Linked DNA regions of Schizosaccharomyces pombe. The protein of the gene in region 1 interacts with the protein of each later gene in a biochemical or structural test. Each region holds a gene or a part of one and is shown on either strand. Other genes may lie near its edges.

Region 1 (6,650 bases):
TATAGGGGTTTTAAAGGCTTGGACGAAGTACTCAGATGGCAGATCAAAGTTGTTTATAACAGCACCTCCACAATTTGAATTTTGGCTACTAGAATACTCAAGGATTGATTATCTACCATTATCCAACATCGTATTTATTTCCAATAGTGCTTTACGTACTGACAGGAAGCCGTCTGCTTTGGAATCCTCTAGGTTGTCTTCTTTATTTAAAGAATTTGATTTAGTATCTTTTCGAACGGTTCCTGCCATACACTGCCCGTATTCATATTGCATGGAGATTACTAATTCCAGTGGTTGGAAGATCGCATACTCTGGAGATACTCGACCTTCTGAGGATTTTGCTAACATTGCCAAAGACTCAACTTTATTAATTCACGAAGCTACTTTGGAAGACTCTATGCACGAAATTGCAATAAAAAAGCAACACAGTACTTACTCTGAAGCTTTAGAAGTGGCCAAAAAAGCTGGTACAAAAAACGTTATTTTGACTCATTTTAGCCAACGATATCCCAAATTACCAGACATTGATATTTCGACAGAAGACTTACATATAGCTTTGGCGTTTGATGGAATGACTCTTAAAATATCGGATATCTCATTGTTTCGTTATTTTGGAAAGCCTCTGGCTTATCTATTTAATGAGGAAAATTTAAAAGAGGAGTCGGATCCTTTAAAGTTCTAACTACTTGAGCTATTGTCTCATATTATATAAATTGGGTCTCAGGCAAGTGATCTCTGTTGTTTAATGAAATGGGCAAACCTTTTCTTCATTATACAATTATGTTCATAACAAAATACTTCAGACTTCAAAAAAATTGTCAAGGTAATCCGTATCTATTAAAATAGTCCTGAAAACCATTAATGATCTTTTTTTCTTTTATTTCACTGAGTAACTACTATTTAACCCAAGGACCAAAATTTACGAGTGTAATTGACGACTTAATCAAACCTTTATGGAATAATCTAAAAAGAGGACAATTTTGAGTTTTAATTTATATCGGATAACCAAGTACTCTATGCAATTAAAGTAATTGTAGAACATGCGAGTTTTCGTCTAAGAAACTGAATAATAACAAACGAATAAACATCAGCTAAAGCGTAACACAAACCAGAAATACGAGACTTCCGTAGATTTGTAAATTAGAAAGAGTGAAAATTATTGAAAAACATGAAGTAAATTATAAATCTCTAAGTTTATCCATCACAAATTTGAAGAAATTGGTTGGGTGAAAAAGGGATGCCAAAGGGCCTCTTTTGCAGTTATTCGCCGCTTAGGATCGTAAACGAATACTTTTTTCAATAAATCAAGCAGCAAAGCCACTTCTGGAGATGATACTGCAAATATTTGCTCTAGCGTTTGCAGAGATTGAAGATAATTAATGCTTTTTTTAGGCGTATTTGACAAAGGATAACGGACTTTTCCGTCAGATTTAAAAAAACGTTGCGATGTACGAGAGGAACGCGAAATCATATTCCTATCAAAGGGACCCAGGATTTTTTCCATCATGCACAGATGCTCACTATCTTCATGGGTTTGAAACAAGGCTTGTCCCGTGAATAACTCAACTAAAATACATCCAATACTCCAAACATCGCAAGGATAAGACCAACCCAACCCTAAAATAATCTCTGGAGCACGATAATGACGAGTACTCACTACACTGGAATGGTATTCATCTTCAAATGTTGCACTACCAAAGTCGATAAGCCGGATTTCACAACTATTAAGGACTTTCTGTGAATAATTCCGATAAGGTAATCGAATAGTTCTTGAGGCATTAGATACCAGAAGAACATTTTCGGGTTTAAGATCGGTATGTACTAGTCCCAAAGAGTGAAGAAACGCAACACTTTTAAAAAGTTGTTGGGATAGCATCTGAATATGCTTCAAAGGGAAAGGAATGTAGTTGTTATTCTTTAAAAAATCAAAGACACTCCAGCCAAAAAGATCAGTCACAATGCAGATGTGCTTGCGGTAATCGAAATAATCGCGTAACTGAATGCACTTATTTTCATTTGTCGGATCACTATGAGCTATAGTTTGTAAAACTCTTAATTCAATGAGACTAGCTTCTCTGTACTTTGGAATTGCTCGAGTCACCTTGATAGCACAATGTCTACCTGTACTTTGATCGTAACACTGGATAACTTTGCCAAAAGTACCGTGCCCAAGCAAACGAACAACTGTATAACGGTTGGCAAATTTGGAGTTAGGTACAACCTTGTAATGACCGTCATCATCATCAAAAGTTGATGGATCAAAAGCGGTAGTATCATGCACAACAGGAACATTTACGCGGTCGACTTTTTTATATGGGGGCCATGCAGCTCGCTTCCTTTTCTTCGGAGGTCGATAATCGGAAATAGATACAGGAGTGATAACTTGATTGGCATTAGAAGCCGGTTGATAAACGTTTGCAGAAGGAGGTTGGAAAGTTGGTTGAGTCATCGGAAGCCATACGGCCAGCGTTGGAGATAATGGTACAGCGGTATGATTGTTAATGGAACTTGGGGTGACGGAATAATTTACACTTTTATGTTGAGACGATTGCGAGGAAGGAGCGATAGCAGTAGCCGGAGCTAGCTGAGGAGGGTTAGAAGGACAATACGTTGCAGGACATAGTGGGGGAGGATAAGAGGTTGGAGACGAGTAAGGATGATTATGGATGGGATGTGGAAGCCTGTTCGGATGGACTTGGAGCTTTGGTAAATTAGGGATCACTGGAGGTTTAGAAATTGGTTGGTGAGGTAAATTAGGAGAGGGAAGCGAAACCGGGTACCAGTGTGAAGGAACTTGAGGGACAGGAGGCGGCCGTAAAACAGGTTGACATGAAACAGGTAGTGGATTATGAAGGGGAGGATGATGTGAATGGGGAAATGGCGATTGATTATTTGAACACGCATGATACGATGTAGGAGACTGAACCATATATGAAGGATGGCTGGCGACATCATGCGGTAATGGAACGACGCCATTAGCATCCAACCATGGATCATAGGATTGAGGAAGAGATACCGAGTTAGTTGATGGATAAACAGCATTCGCACCATTGATAGGGACTGCCACAGTGCCAGTGGTAGAGGGTGATGATGATGAGGGAGGTTGCGGAGGTACGAAGGATTGTAATTGATGAACAGAAAAAGGAGGCGGTAAATTAGGGGTAAGCCGTGGAGAAGCTGAGTCCTCTATAACAATGACTTCTTGTGGAACACCATTTTTATAAAAGTCCTGCCAATCAGGCGCATGATTTCTACGACGTTTTAAGGAATGCATTTTACAATAAAAAGATTCCGTCTAAGTCATGCGAGCAAATTGGTAAAGTGAAGAGGTAGAAGACGTCGAAACCTGAAAAAAGGGATAAGTATCTTTTAGAATTATGCAAAACCAGAAGCAAAAATGATGAAAAGAGATACCAACCACCGAAAATAAGTGTTTCTCAAACAATAATAAGGGGAAAAGTTTCCTTGTTCGAAGTCACCAAGCGACAAAAGCAATAAAAAACCTTTTTTTTCGACTCGTCGAAGGGTAAGAACAAAATAGAAAGGCGGAATTTAAAAAATAAAAATAAAAAATGGACGAATTAAAGCAATAGAACTGAACTGACAAGCATTCGACAATTGGTGTTGGACCAGAACAGCTAGTTCATCAAGAAGCAGAGAATGGGAGGAAGAATGAGCAATCAAGTTAACTGGTACACCTACTTCGAAAGAGTTTCAAAATTTGAATGCAATCACGAAGAAAGAAGTTAAAATTCTCGACGTTGTAAAATTGCAAGGCCGTCGATCAAACGATAAATCAGCAAAGAAGCGGAAAACAGTGAGAAAGTGAACTTGAAATATATTTATCAAACCAAATGGTTTCTTATATCAGGGAGAAGAAAGCCGTTTTCTCAGAATAAAGACAATTGACGACAACCACTAAACCCCTTTCTCAATCAAATGTAGGGTGCAACAGTAAAGAGAAACAGCAAATGCAAAAAGGTATCGGAGAGAAATAAATATCTACAATACCGGAGAATAAGTATGCCGAACACGGAGGGTCTGTAAAGGCAAATCAAACACGAAAAAACGATAAACACCAAACCTTCAATCAACAACTAGCGGAAACCTTTGTATCAATCGTATTGCTTTAAAGTAATGATGTTCCAAGGCAATATTGTACCATGAGACAATGATGAGGTTTTTGTGTTTGAGGGGGTGCGATTGCGCTACTACCAAAATTGATCAATGTCCAAATCAGGCGGATTAGTAATTTGGATAAAACAAAAGTATAAATAACCCCCAAAAGAATCGGCAATTACCAGGGCAGTTTTCAAAAGCACACAAAGTCGACGACAAGCGATGTAGCTGTAGTACGAAAGTCTACCTAACAAAATGGTAGATCGTAGATGGAGAAAAGCAAGTAGTGAGTGTAGTAAATTGAAGAATGAAGTATATACGACTCTTAATAAGCAATTTTCTTTTTCTTTCCTTCAATCCCACAGAATGTAATTCCAATGGGGGGGGGGTAAAACAACAAAGCAATGTCCTAATAATACAACTGCTAAGAAAACTAGTAATTGAGGATAGAAAGGATAAAAGAAAAAGCCTCAAGCCAATTCGAGGGATGTGGAGAAAGTAAAAAGGAATTAGCAAGAGTTTGGATAATAATAAGTTGCGTTTTCTTTGGTAAAGCCACTTAGAAAAGGTGAAATTTGCATGAGATAATCATGTTTGTGAGACCGGAACAACATCATTGTTATTCTATCCTTAAAATAAAATAGCTGGAAAAAATTGGCCGGACGAGGGAACAACCCAACAATCACCATCCAGGCGCGTTGCGTTTGGCACCTCCTTCCTATGAAAAAGTATACACATTCCACAACACCATGTGCGCAGTATGCAACGTACCTAGCCGTCACCCAACTATAGCGTAAGAGACGCTTGCTACTCTGAAGGGCTGAGATCTACGAAAACCGCCATGGCCGTAGAGGCAGAGGCGCTGAATGAATTTTCATTAATTTAGATCACTAATCATTTACCATTCAAATGCCGCTCCATTCAACTCAACCATATTCACTTAAGGAGTTTTCGTAAGAAATGGCTTATCATTGTCATCATACCATTCAAACATCAATACACACCACACATACACACACACACAAATGTACACAAGCATGCACACTCATACACATATATAAACGCATGTTTACATAAATAGTTATAAAATTTACATATAGTTTTACGCATAAATAATGCAACTGTCATTCTCACCATCTCTATCCAACTCTACCTACCATGTACTATATACTGTATTATACAATGAATGCTATATGCCCGCTTATACTGTAGCTGCCTTGTCGCCCGCCCCATTTGTCCATGGTATAGTATTCCGCACAATTCTTTACCAGAATAGAAATGAAATATAGAAAACATGCCTTTTCAGAAGCGTTTCTCACACTTTCAACAAATGTCGTCCAGCCCATCTGCCAAATTCTCTTACCAAACTAGTCTTGATTATGGCCATCCGTCCTCGGTAATCGAATATTTCGTCCAAACAGCGACGCTTGGCCATCAAAAAATTTAGTGGATGACAATAATCTATGTAACAAATAATACGATAAAATTGCCATGATGAGTAACAAAACAACAAAGGCAATAATTCATCAACTATTGAATAATCATTTAATGGTCGCGAAAAGGAAACAAATATAATTTTCTACAATCAATCATCTACAATGACTGATGTTAGAGCTTGAAAACGGGATGTGAAAAATTCAATCAACATGACTTCAAATGGGGTGAGAAATTGTAATTAAGCAAAGGAAAAAAATAGGCAACAAGGCATGGTTGTAGCTGCAATTAAGGGACTAATGTGTCGTGAAACTCAAAAATGTAAAAAAAAGAATGACAATCCCCTTGCATAATTGAATTACCCGTTGAAATTTTTGGGAAATCCGGTTACTGCAGACGGAAGTTGAAAGTCAACTTTATCTCGGTTCTTTTTTTCCTTTTTTTTTTTTTTTGCAACTTCCTTACCGGCACGCAAGGTCCGTCGCACTTCTGGACCAGGAGTAAACTGCTTACTTATTGAAAGAACAAAGAAAATTTTAACCTTTCTTTAAATACGCTTTCTTTTCTTTTTCTTTTTTCAGGCTATTTTTTTGCTCCTCCCGTCATCCCTAATAGCTAGTCGGCTTTAACGATTATTATTTTAGGAGATGCTAAAGTGCAGATTGACGGTCTTGTTCGTAATTTGCAATCAGTCTATGTCATGATCCCTGACCTCAGTACAGTGGAAGCTGTCTGGCTGGCAAGGGTAAAGGCTAGTAAGTACTATCAATTATGTATGTCAGTTGTGGATGGGGAATTATTATTGAGACTTTTTACAAAGTGTCAAGCTCGAGATTTGGCCATTACATGTCGGTAAAGCAGCTGAACAGCGATATGCCGTTCATAAAAAAGCGTCAGCACAAGTGAAATCAAGTGTCATGACATGAAAGTCTAATCGGTTATTTGCAACATTAACCGAAACTTGTAGAAAATGCGCTCTTTGGCAGTTGAAAAACGCAGACATTACAGATGCTATAAATACATAGTATTAAAAACATAATAACAAATAACAATAACATGTTAATTAATCTTGCTATACATAGTAACATCTATAAAAC
Region 2 (4,842 bases), 360 kb from region 1:
CGTGTCTATATCCAAAGCCTTCATAGCTTAGATATAAATCGATGCAGCAAACAACGACAATTTTTCTTTAACCCAAACGTAATATAGGTCCTGGGTTGGCACCGATTTAAGTATTAAGATTTTAAATATATTTAAAAAGTGCTAAATTAAAGATTTAATGAAGTAAACCCAAATTATAGACTGCTTAAGCCGTGGAGGATTATTATAAACTCCTGAAAAGATAGCCTTAAGAAACGTGCAGATATCGAACTGTAACGGATTGTAAAAGCACACCTCAATATAGCATCGATTAGGATTTATTCAATTTCTATGTTTTAGTCAATAAAATCGAAACAATGAGTCTTCTTCGCGTTGAAGAAGTCAGAAGATGGTTAATACATACATAATTTTAGCGAGTATATGATAAATCTGTTGGTGAATTTCGGAGTCAAGGTGGAGATATGCAAATTACTAAATACAAGAATAACCATTTAAAAAATGTTTAATCAACCACATGTATTTCAAGAATCTACATTGAAAAGTATTAAGTATTATCTCAAGTTATGCAACATTTATCATAGAACTAAAATTAAAAATTAAGGAATTTTTTATTAATTGTTTATTTTTTAAATAAAAAGTGTCTCAGTTAATTTATGAGAGAAGCCATTCTCCAAAATTAGTGACATTAAAAAACTGAGTGATGATTTGTCTATTGTGACCGTAAGTAAAGGAAATAATATTGCAAAAAAAATATGATACAAATTAAGGAAATATACCAGTGTAGTAATAGAGTTTACAAAATTTAGTTTGTAAACTTTGTAACCAAAAATCAATGCGGTTAACTATTTCCGAGAGCAAATAGTTATATGTAAACAGGAACAAAAATTCAAGGAGATGCAGGGTCAATTGACCATATGCGAGCACGTAAATCACCACTTCCCGAAGCAAATTGCCTACCATCTGGGCTAAAGCATACGGAAATAACTGAATTCTTGTGTCCTTGACAAGTGAGATAAGATTGGCCTGTTTGCAAATCCCAGAATTGCATACTTCTATCCTTCGATCCGCTTAATCCCCAACGGCTGTCGGGTGAAACAGCTACTGAAAGAACAAAATCAGTATGTCCTGTATAGGTGGCTTTGCAAATACCTTCAGGCTTAATAGCTGAAAGGCCAACTGAACGAGTTGCTTGTAATTCCCAGACTTTGATAGTCTTATCAAGACTTCCACTAAGAAGAATGCTGCTGTCGGGCGAAAAGGCAATAGAATAAACACTCTCCTTATGACCTTCCAATCGTTCAACCAAAGTACCCGACACAGACCATACTCGAATTATCTGATCTAGACTACCAACTGCAATGAATTGATCATTTGGAGAGATGGCTATTGCCGTCACACCATTCTCAATTTCTAACTTTAAAATACATTGACCTGTCTCCACATCCCAGAGTCGTGCAGTTCGATCGCCACTACCAGAGACGATGAATCGCCCATTATGGCTAAAATCTAAGGAATAGATATCTTGTTCATGACCTGAAAATACGTAACGAACTTTTTGAGTTGAGAGATCCCAGAGTTTTATTTGACGATCTTCTGTTCCCGTGACTAAATACTTACCATCAGGGCTGAAAGCAATGGTTCTCACATACAAATCACGGGAAGGATCAGGTGATTCTTCATGCAAAGTAAAAAGTTTTTTGCCAGTCTGAACATCAAAGACATTAGCGGCCTGGTTACAGCCAGTTGCTAAATACTTGCCATTGTTACTAAACTTAACGCAGCAAACAACACTGGGATGCTCTAGTGTGTGCACGAGATTAATATTAAAAACCCTTTTGCATGCTGGGTTATAAGTGACGTACCAACTCTGAGAAGTTGTCTTTCTAGCAGCTTCTGTATCTGAAACTGGAGCAATCTGTTCTCTTCCCTGATATTCTCCATCAGGACCCGCTTGGGATATAGAACCAGCATTCGCAGAAGCAGTCATAGAAGGTTCAGCCGAAGGAGTTGCTTTGGTAGGAATACGCGGTGGCTGGACATTCACAGCAGGTTTTGAAGTAGCACTTGGATTATAATAATTGGAAACACCAGGCAATTGAGGATTTGGTTGTTGAGAAACCTGATTTGCTCCGTAATTAACAGGAGGGATATATAAAGGTGTAGTACTAGGTAAATTGGATGTAGATATCGCGGGATTTTGAGAAGCAATTCCCTGATTAAAATTTTGCCCGCTAGAAGCCTCTACTGAAGGAGGAATTGGAGGCATCAATACTTCAGCAACATTATTTTGAGGATAAGCTGATTGGTGAATTGGAGGGATTTGCTGAAAGGCAGGTAGATGGTTACTTGGAGGCTGAGAAGTAGATTTGGTTTGAGAGGGATGTTCCTGATCAATATGGGTAACTTGATTATTAGAAGCGGCAAGTTCAGATCTTTCTCCACGATTTCTATAACTTGCGGTATTCGCTTCGACACCTAATTCTTCAAGCTCTCGCTTCAACTTGTTGATATCTTTTTCGTACCTATAAATGTTAGTAAATTGGTGAAGACAGATGTTATAAAGGTTTTTTTTTTTTTACTTCAAGCATATAAATCTCGAGCGACACGTATGCTATTATAAAATAATGATGAATTTCACAGAAAAGAAGTAGATACTATATAATCCCTCGATACCTTTAACATATAAAAACTTACGTTTCTCTAATAGATTTTTGTTTTTCATACATATCATCCACGGTTTTTCGGAACGCTTCAATTTCTTGAATTTGAGATTGTATCACTGCAATAGAACAGAATGTTAGTTTCCAAAAAATAGCTAATTTAATTTATTTTATTCAAACACGTACTAGAAGATTCATAGTCGTTTCCGCGCGCCTTGGACGCGAAGCTATGATGAGCCAAAGCATTGTATTCAGCCTTCAACGCATCCAGCATTTCTTGAACTTTCGTGGCATCCTCCACTGACGCCATTTTTTTTTTCAGTCAGACTTATTGCAAAAACTGAATCCGATTGATATACGCCCTTTTACAACAATAGCAACACTTGAATTGTGGTACAAGAATAAACTTGTGTTCTTGAACGTTTGTAGCAGCACTTTTATCGAGCGGCTCCTTGTGCTGCGCTAATCTTTAAATAGAGAATGTGGTGCTACATATTTTTGGTTGAGCAAGTATCACAAAATTAGTATGGCGTGTGTGTTGGCAACTTGTCCCAATTATTTTGAAATTCATTTGAATTATAGAGAAAAGCAATTCGAAACCCTTTACTGTTTGATTTTTTGTAGCGTTTATATTATTTTTTTGAATATAGATTTTCTTGCTTTTCAGTTGATGTTTGTTATAAAAAAATAGTTATAACTTTGAAACGTAGTGTAATTCATTTTTTTTTTATTGATGGAAAAATTTGTTAACCGTTTTTATATATCAATATAAAAAAATTAAAATTTGTGTTTAATCAATTTATTATCTGATCCTTGTTTAATTAGATTGTTTACCGACCTTTGTAAGACATTATTACAGTGAGTTTTATCTTGATAAGTATTAATTAAAAGTTATGATAGTATTTAACCCGTAAATTCACATTTCATTTGCTAATGACTCAGTTAATCATAAGTGACATTATTTGTTTAATGATGCGAAATTTGACGCACTTTACTGATATTAAAACATTGTTGGTTGTCTTAAAGATGCTTTTTTCATATAATCTAGTTATCATGAAGAAGGATGAAAAAATCCCATAGTTGAAATTTATTAACACTAAAGCAAAATGTTTAAGCGCAGCAAACCGAAGCCGTCAGAAATTGAGCATTTAATCTGACACGATATGCCATTTACACTTCAAGGGCGATTAATAAATACACTTTGGATTTATTTTTAAATCATATTTATTGCTTATTTACTTATCAATTTTTGTTTGATGTACTATTTAAGTTGTTTTGAATTTTTTTTTTATATGACATTAGTTTGGGATTACTACCCAGTTTAATCAGTTTAATGATACAGGAGGAAAGCAAGATTAAAAAAGGGACGGACAACGTTCATTGCATATCTTGTTATTGCTTGTCAGTTTACGGCCCTCAGCGTTTGTTAAGCTACACTAACTATTTACTTGTAACTTGATAAATTTTGGTATGCTGGTGGTAATACGAGTAGGGGCCAGACATAAAGCAATGCGACAATTAATGATATGTTGCATAGTGGGGCATAATGTAGTGTAACAGCTGACGCTATATATCATCGAGATGTTTTTACTTACGTTTTACAAACTATTTCACTAAAAAGTTTCCGTATAGTTTTATCAGCAATTTGTTAATATTGATATCAATACATATATATATATATATATAAGTCTATTTATACATCGATAACTCTACTAGTCCCATTGTCAATGCTAGTGAATATACTTGTTTTCCGACAGAAATGACTCGTACTCGTGTACAAAAAATGATACCGAAAACCATTGAATACCAAAAAATGATATCTGGTCAACCGTAAGGCTAATGCTTAAAACTTGTCGAGCTAATATATCATCTTCGTTGACATGTTTGAAGTCACATTGAACGCAGGGAGATATTCTAATTACTAAATAACAGGTACAAGGCTTACGACGAGGAGTTGACTCAAGCGAGATGTAATGCTAAAAAATTAATGCGAAGGTTTAATGACACTATGGGAGATTTGGAAAATGTAGGCCCAGCAGAATTGATTAAAAGACGAGCTGAACTGTTGGCTGAAGTTTTTGTATTTGACGAATCTTCAGCACCAGAGATTGAGCCACCTATGGCTTTTGATTACGGATTTAACGTTCATTTTGGAAAAAAATTCTTTGCAAATTATAATTGTACATTTCTAGATGTTGCCATA
Region 3 (5,293 bases), 280 kb from region 1:
ATGATAGAAGTCGATGAATATATATAGTATTTTAAGCCATGGTAAATACTCCTTACAATCTGATGCCTTTTTTTAAAAGGAAGGTTAGCATCAAAATATGATAGAATGTCTGTATCTTTGATAGCAGGCTCACTAGAAAGATCCAAAAGTGATTTATTGTTCATCTATGTGGCCTTTATTTTTCAACGTCAATAAATTAGGACCTTCAGCAGAATAACCACATAAAGCAAATCTGAACTCTTAACTTAATGGAATATTCAAGATCATAAACTATGAGCATGGAAGTTGATTTCAAGTATTAGCTACACTGGTAGGGGTGGGGAGGAGAGCTGACAGGCTGCTATGAATTAGGGGAAGCATTACCTTATCTAAGAGGAATAGGTTGAAACGACATTAAAACTAATAAATAGAAACTTAGTATTCGACATTCAAAATTCAAAAAATATATGAAGTTATTTAACCGTAAAAACCAATTGCTAAGTAGCTAGGTCGCGCAAACATATACATAACTTGAAGGGTCTATTAAATATATACAAAAGTTGGGATTTAATAGTTAATGAAATACTATGGATAAAATCAGAGTTTCGGTTGTCGGGGATTGTATGGAAGTATCAAAAATTAAAAAAAGGGAATTGAAATGATTCAAGAATTAGCAAAAACATCTGGTCGGCTTGACTTGATAGAAAAATTCCGACCAAAATAAGCCGCAAGTTTGAAGGGTTACAAAATCGGTTATGAATTTTTATAAAATAAAGGAAAAAAGACTTGCCAAGAAGCGAGTCTCACAATGGTCAATGGGCATTATTGGCAAATGAAGAATTAAAAAATTAAGTAGGTTTCGGACATTGTCATTCAATGCTATAAATGAAACATCGCTAGTTCTTACAGATCCTCATAAGACCAAATTCTTGCTCGTAAGTCACCACTACCAGTAGCAAAGCAATGGCCATTCGGGCTAACAGCAACCGATATTACTGAGTTATTGTGTCCCTGGAGAGTTAACTGAGAATGAGGAGAATCGGGGGACCAAAATTGGATGGTTCGGTCTTTCGAGCCGCTAATAATCCATTTTCCATCCGGAGAGACAGTGACACTTAGAATAAAATCTTTATGTCCAGTAAAAGTTTGCTTGCAAATACCGCCTTCCTTATACATGCTGGGTGCAACGTTGGAGACGCATTGCAACTCCCATAACTTAATTGTGTTATCCAAACTTCCACTAACCAGGTATTTTCCGTCAGGAGAGAAGGCAACGCTGTAAACACTCTCTTCATGACCATGAAGCTGCTCTACTAAAGTTCCGGACGATGTCCAAATCCTAATTACCTTATCTAAAGAACCTGCAGCAATAAATTGACCGTCGGGAGAAAACATTACTGTAGTAACACCATCATCGGTATGCAAAATTAGTTTTTGCTCGCCAGCTTCAACATCCCAAAGACAAACAGTTCTATCTCCACTACCAGAAACCAATGTTTTTCCATCTTTGCTAAAATCAAGGGAATAAATTTCTTGCTCATGCCCAGTCAGTAGACGATAAACACGTTTTTGAGCGATGTCCCATATTCTGATTTGTTGATCTTCGACACCAGTAGCAAGGTATTTACCATCAGGACTAAATGCTACACTGCGAACATATAAATCACCTTCACGCTTCGAAGATTCCTCCTGCAGAAGCGTAATTAATTTACCGGTCTCCACATTAAAAACCATAGCTGCTCTGTTACAACCCGTAGCCAAAAATTTTCCATCGGCACTAAACCTTACATAACAAATAACGCTTGTGTGTTCCAGTGTATGAAGTAGTTGAACAGAGATCGGGGGTTCTTTGTTAGGTACATTGCTAGTGACAGTCCAATCTTTCTCCTCTCTATTAGGCACATTGGATGTCGGAATAATTTCAGCAGGATAAGGAGGATTACCTGAGACTTTTCCGTTTACAACCAAAGGAGCAGCGATAGGTGTGACGGAAGAATTAGCTGAGTCAGATGGAGGTGGAGGATGTCCGAGCGGTAAATTGGAAGGAAATGCTGTGAATGGTAAGTAAGAAAATCCAAATTAAAACGAGGAAGCAAAATAGTTTCGGCAATAGTATTTTGTTTTACAAAAAATGAACAAAAGCCGCAAGGAATTCAAACGAATTAATGACAGCATTAAAAAATTGTCTGGGAACATACGGTGTACAACATACCAGATGCAAACAATAAAGTGAAAGACAAAAAGTATCTATAAACTTGATCAAGTCAAAAAACAAATGCTGTTGCCAAAAGCTACAATGCAAGCTTGAACTTACTTCGCATAGCAGATCCAGCCATGGTTGCACCCACAGCAGGGCGTACATGAGGACTGGAATAATATTGTGAACCAAGATCTACGTTCGAGGTCTGAATAGGAGCTAAAACAGTACCATCTGAATCAATGGCAGGTGATCGAAGATTTTTAGGAGTTCCTCCAGAAGAACCGTTATTAAGTATCAAAGGTTTCGAGGAGTTGTCCGAGTTAAAAGGGCCCGCATTTCCATATTTTCCAAAAGAAACGCTATTGCGCCCGTGTTTAGTTTTCGAAGACTGTGGGACGACGCCAGAAGCAATTTCTTTGCGTCTAGCTTCCAGTTGAGCTTTTAAGGAGGTGATTTCTTCTTCGTAACTAGAGAGAGTTAGTAACAAGAAAGATAGCTTTCGAGAAAATATAATATAAAATTGAGAATAAATGTTCACATAGCAGAAGGCATGCTGGTGCTGACAAAAGTGTGAAAAGGACAGAGAATCTTCGAACAGTGATAAACATCCAAATACTGAGTAAAAAACGAAATACCCTTCATCGGAGTAAAAATATGAAAAGATTACTTAATAGAATTTACTCCCATCAAAGGAGCCACCATTATTTAGCATCTTTAAAGATTTATCGTCAACGACCGTAAATTGTATAAATATTTAGAGAGGAATCGCTTTTGTAAGACTCTACAACACTCACAATAATTGCATAACCTTGTACTAATATAACAAACCTTCTCGCCAAGCGTGTATTAGGAAAATTGACATACCGATCCTTCACTTTAGACTGCTGCATCTCCAAATCCATAACGGTTTGTTTCATGAGCGCCATTTCATTAATTTGTGCAGATATCATTGCTAATTTAAGAAGTGTTAGATTTGTACCGCAAATTTGTCAGCAAATTCTTGTATAAGATACCTTTATATTCAAAATCATCCTTTTGAGCTTCAACGGTTTTAGTTTTTTGACAAATATCTTCAAATTCCTTTTTAACCGCTTCTAAAAGCTCATTTACACGTGATGATACATTGGACGTCGCCATAAATTGAAACTTGAAGATGGTAAAAGTGAATTGGCGGACAGTAATCATGAATGATGTTGTTTGAGAAATAACGAGAAATAACATTCGTTAATTTCGGTAAAACCTTCTCGGCTTCGAAGCTAAAGTAAGCAAACTATGTTGAGATTAACATGTCAGGAAAGACAATTTCACTTATGCTTAGCGAGACAATATTGTTGAATTAGTAATTTGGCTGTTCATTCAACTTGCCGCAGTTGGAAAATGTAAAATCATTAATTTGTGATGAAACCTCGTAAAACATATTTTTTAACGTTAATCGATTGAAACCCTTTTTGAATTAGTTCGTGAAATATCTTAACTCTAAAACCTTGAAAATCTTTAGATAGAAGATCCTTTTTTTTTTTTTTTGGGAAGAATATGAAGCGTTTTGATACAATTGGTAATAAAACATTATTTGGTATTGGTTTTTATTGGAAGTTTAGTTTTACAAAAGTGTAGATGTCATAATCCTAATATGAATTCTTAAAGTCAATCAAGAAAACTATTTTATGGGTATTTTGAAACAAACTTACTTTAAGGATGAATTCCATAGAAGTTAACGTAATTTAATTTCATCTTGATAGTGAATAACTTTGAAAACACTATATGCTATTTCCAGAAACTAGTCTCGAATTTTCATACGCCATAGACGGCCTGCTCCTCAGCCCATTGACTTAATTTACTATGATACACTTCCTAGATTTATTGAAAGGGTTTGTTTGCTTGGCATAAATATTCATTTAGTATGCTACTCGCAAAAACTTCAATTTTAAAGCCGCTTTGAAGAATAAGTTATTGCTGGTGGAAAAAGCTATCCTAGAGCATCTGAAAACTACCACTAACATGAACAGAATGTAAAGCAAATAGTACAAAAACAGATATTGAGCTGTGCAGTAAACACATAAAAAAAACATTACTTGAATGGAATGTTTTTACTTATATATGGCACATATAACAAGAGTTGGATAAAAGGATTAATACATAACGTTAAGACATTTAAAAAAAAAAAAGAAAAAAAACCTCACAAAACTTAATATTCGTAAGAATTTTTTTGTAATCATGACAAGGAGCCGCGTTCTTTTGAAAGTGGTTCAGTAAAAAGCATCGTTTGGTTGTTAATGGGATAAGGATTCGTACGTGCCGAAATTCGATTGTGATTTCCATTTAATGAAGAATAATGACAGAATCGATTTCCCGAAGTACGCATTGGTAAAGAAGCAGATGAAGGTATGATAGGAACAGATCCTCGACGCATATTCGAGAGTGGAGGAATTGGAACCTTGGGTAAACGACCACCAGAAGCGTGGTTTTCAGCAGCTAAAGGATTTTTACCTTTCGCAGTGGCGGCATAGTGGTCATAATGACCTCCATGCGGAGTCGACATAGCGGAATAAGCGCTTGACTGAATGGCATTGCCCATACTCTCCATTGACACGGCCTGTTGAGCATAAAGCGGGTTTTGAGAGGCCAGTTCTGAGTTTGAATTAGTTACATGATAACCCATATTCTGGTTCCAAGAGGTGGATAAGTTTTTTGGGATAGAATTGGAAATAAAAGAGTAATTTTCATTGACATCGGGTTGCGTGTCAGACGTTAAAAATTGTTTGGAAGCAGCAAGAGACATGTTATAGGAAGATTGGTCAATTGAATCAGTGTTAGAAGACGGCTGTTTTGGCTGCAAATACTGTGATTTTTGGTCGACATAAGGACCTTCTCCGTAATCGAACAGAGCTTGAGATGGTGATGTGAATTGAATTAAATTCAAATTAACAAATGAATTATTAGCATTGGGATTCACAGGGTTAAAGGCTAATCCGGATGGATTATAAACATCATTCATATACTGTGGAAGAGTCTGTAAAAAGTTTGGGTAGGAATGACGAGCAGCCATCTTTATCGGAGGCTGCTCAATATTTTCATTTAAGGCATTGTTTGAAATTGACTGCAAAGCCGAAAATT

Evidence for each region. Proteins that work in one complex are often made in the same cells at the same time.
Region 2: the proteins of lkh1 (region 1) and tup11 form a complex in vitro, tested with the Schizosaccharomyces pombe proteins (one study listed by BioGRID).
Region 3: the proteins of lkh1 (region 1) and tup12 form a complex in vitro, tested with the Schizosaccharomyces pombe proteins (one study listed by BioGRID).

What each region holds. Positions count from the first base shown.
Region 1 is NC_003424.3:655,559-662,208, forward strand, and holds lkh1 (dual-specificity), read right to left. Parts: upstream 4,620-6,650; 5' UTR 3,275-4,619; coding exon 1,202-3,274; 3' UTR 683-1,201; downstream 1-682. Other genes in the region: 3' tRNA-processing endonuclease tRNAse Z L2 Trz1, read left to right, coding at 1-682. UniProt on the Schizosaccharomyces pombe protein: Protein kinase that may act as a negative regulator of filamentous growth and flocculation. Appears to have a role in normal cell wall and septum formation and in cell separation.
Region 2 is NC_003424.3:298,763-303,604, forward strand, and holds tup11 (transcriptional corepressor Tup11), read right to left. Parts: upstream 3,035-4,842; 5' UTR 2,950-3,034; coding exon 2,826-2,949; intron 2,759-2,825; coding exon 2,674-2,758; intron 2,650-2,673; exon of another isoform or gene 2,502-2,649; coding exon 866-2,501; 3' UTR 516-865; downstream 1-515. Other genes in the region: SPOM_SPAC18B11.11 (GTPase-activating protein), read right to left, coding at 1-24; SPOM_SPAC18B11.09C (serine O-acetyltransferase activity), read left to right, coding at 4,399-4,469, 4,572-4,842.
Region 3 is NC_003424.3:373,801-379,093, forward strand, and holds tup12 (transcriptional corepressor Tup12), read right to left. Parts: upstream 3,338-5,293; 5' UTR 3,317-3,337; coding exon 3,193-3,316; intron 3,132-3,192; coding exon 3,044-3,131; intron 2,647-3,043; coding exon 2,294-2,646; intron 2,031-2,293; coding exon 883-2,030; 3' UTR 516-882; downstream 1-515. Other genes in the region: Rheb GAP, tuberin Tsc2, read right to left, coding at 1-164; gluconate transmembrane transporter inducer Gti1, read right to left, coding at 4,392-5,293. UniProt on the Schizosaccharomyces pombe protein: Transcriptional repressor.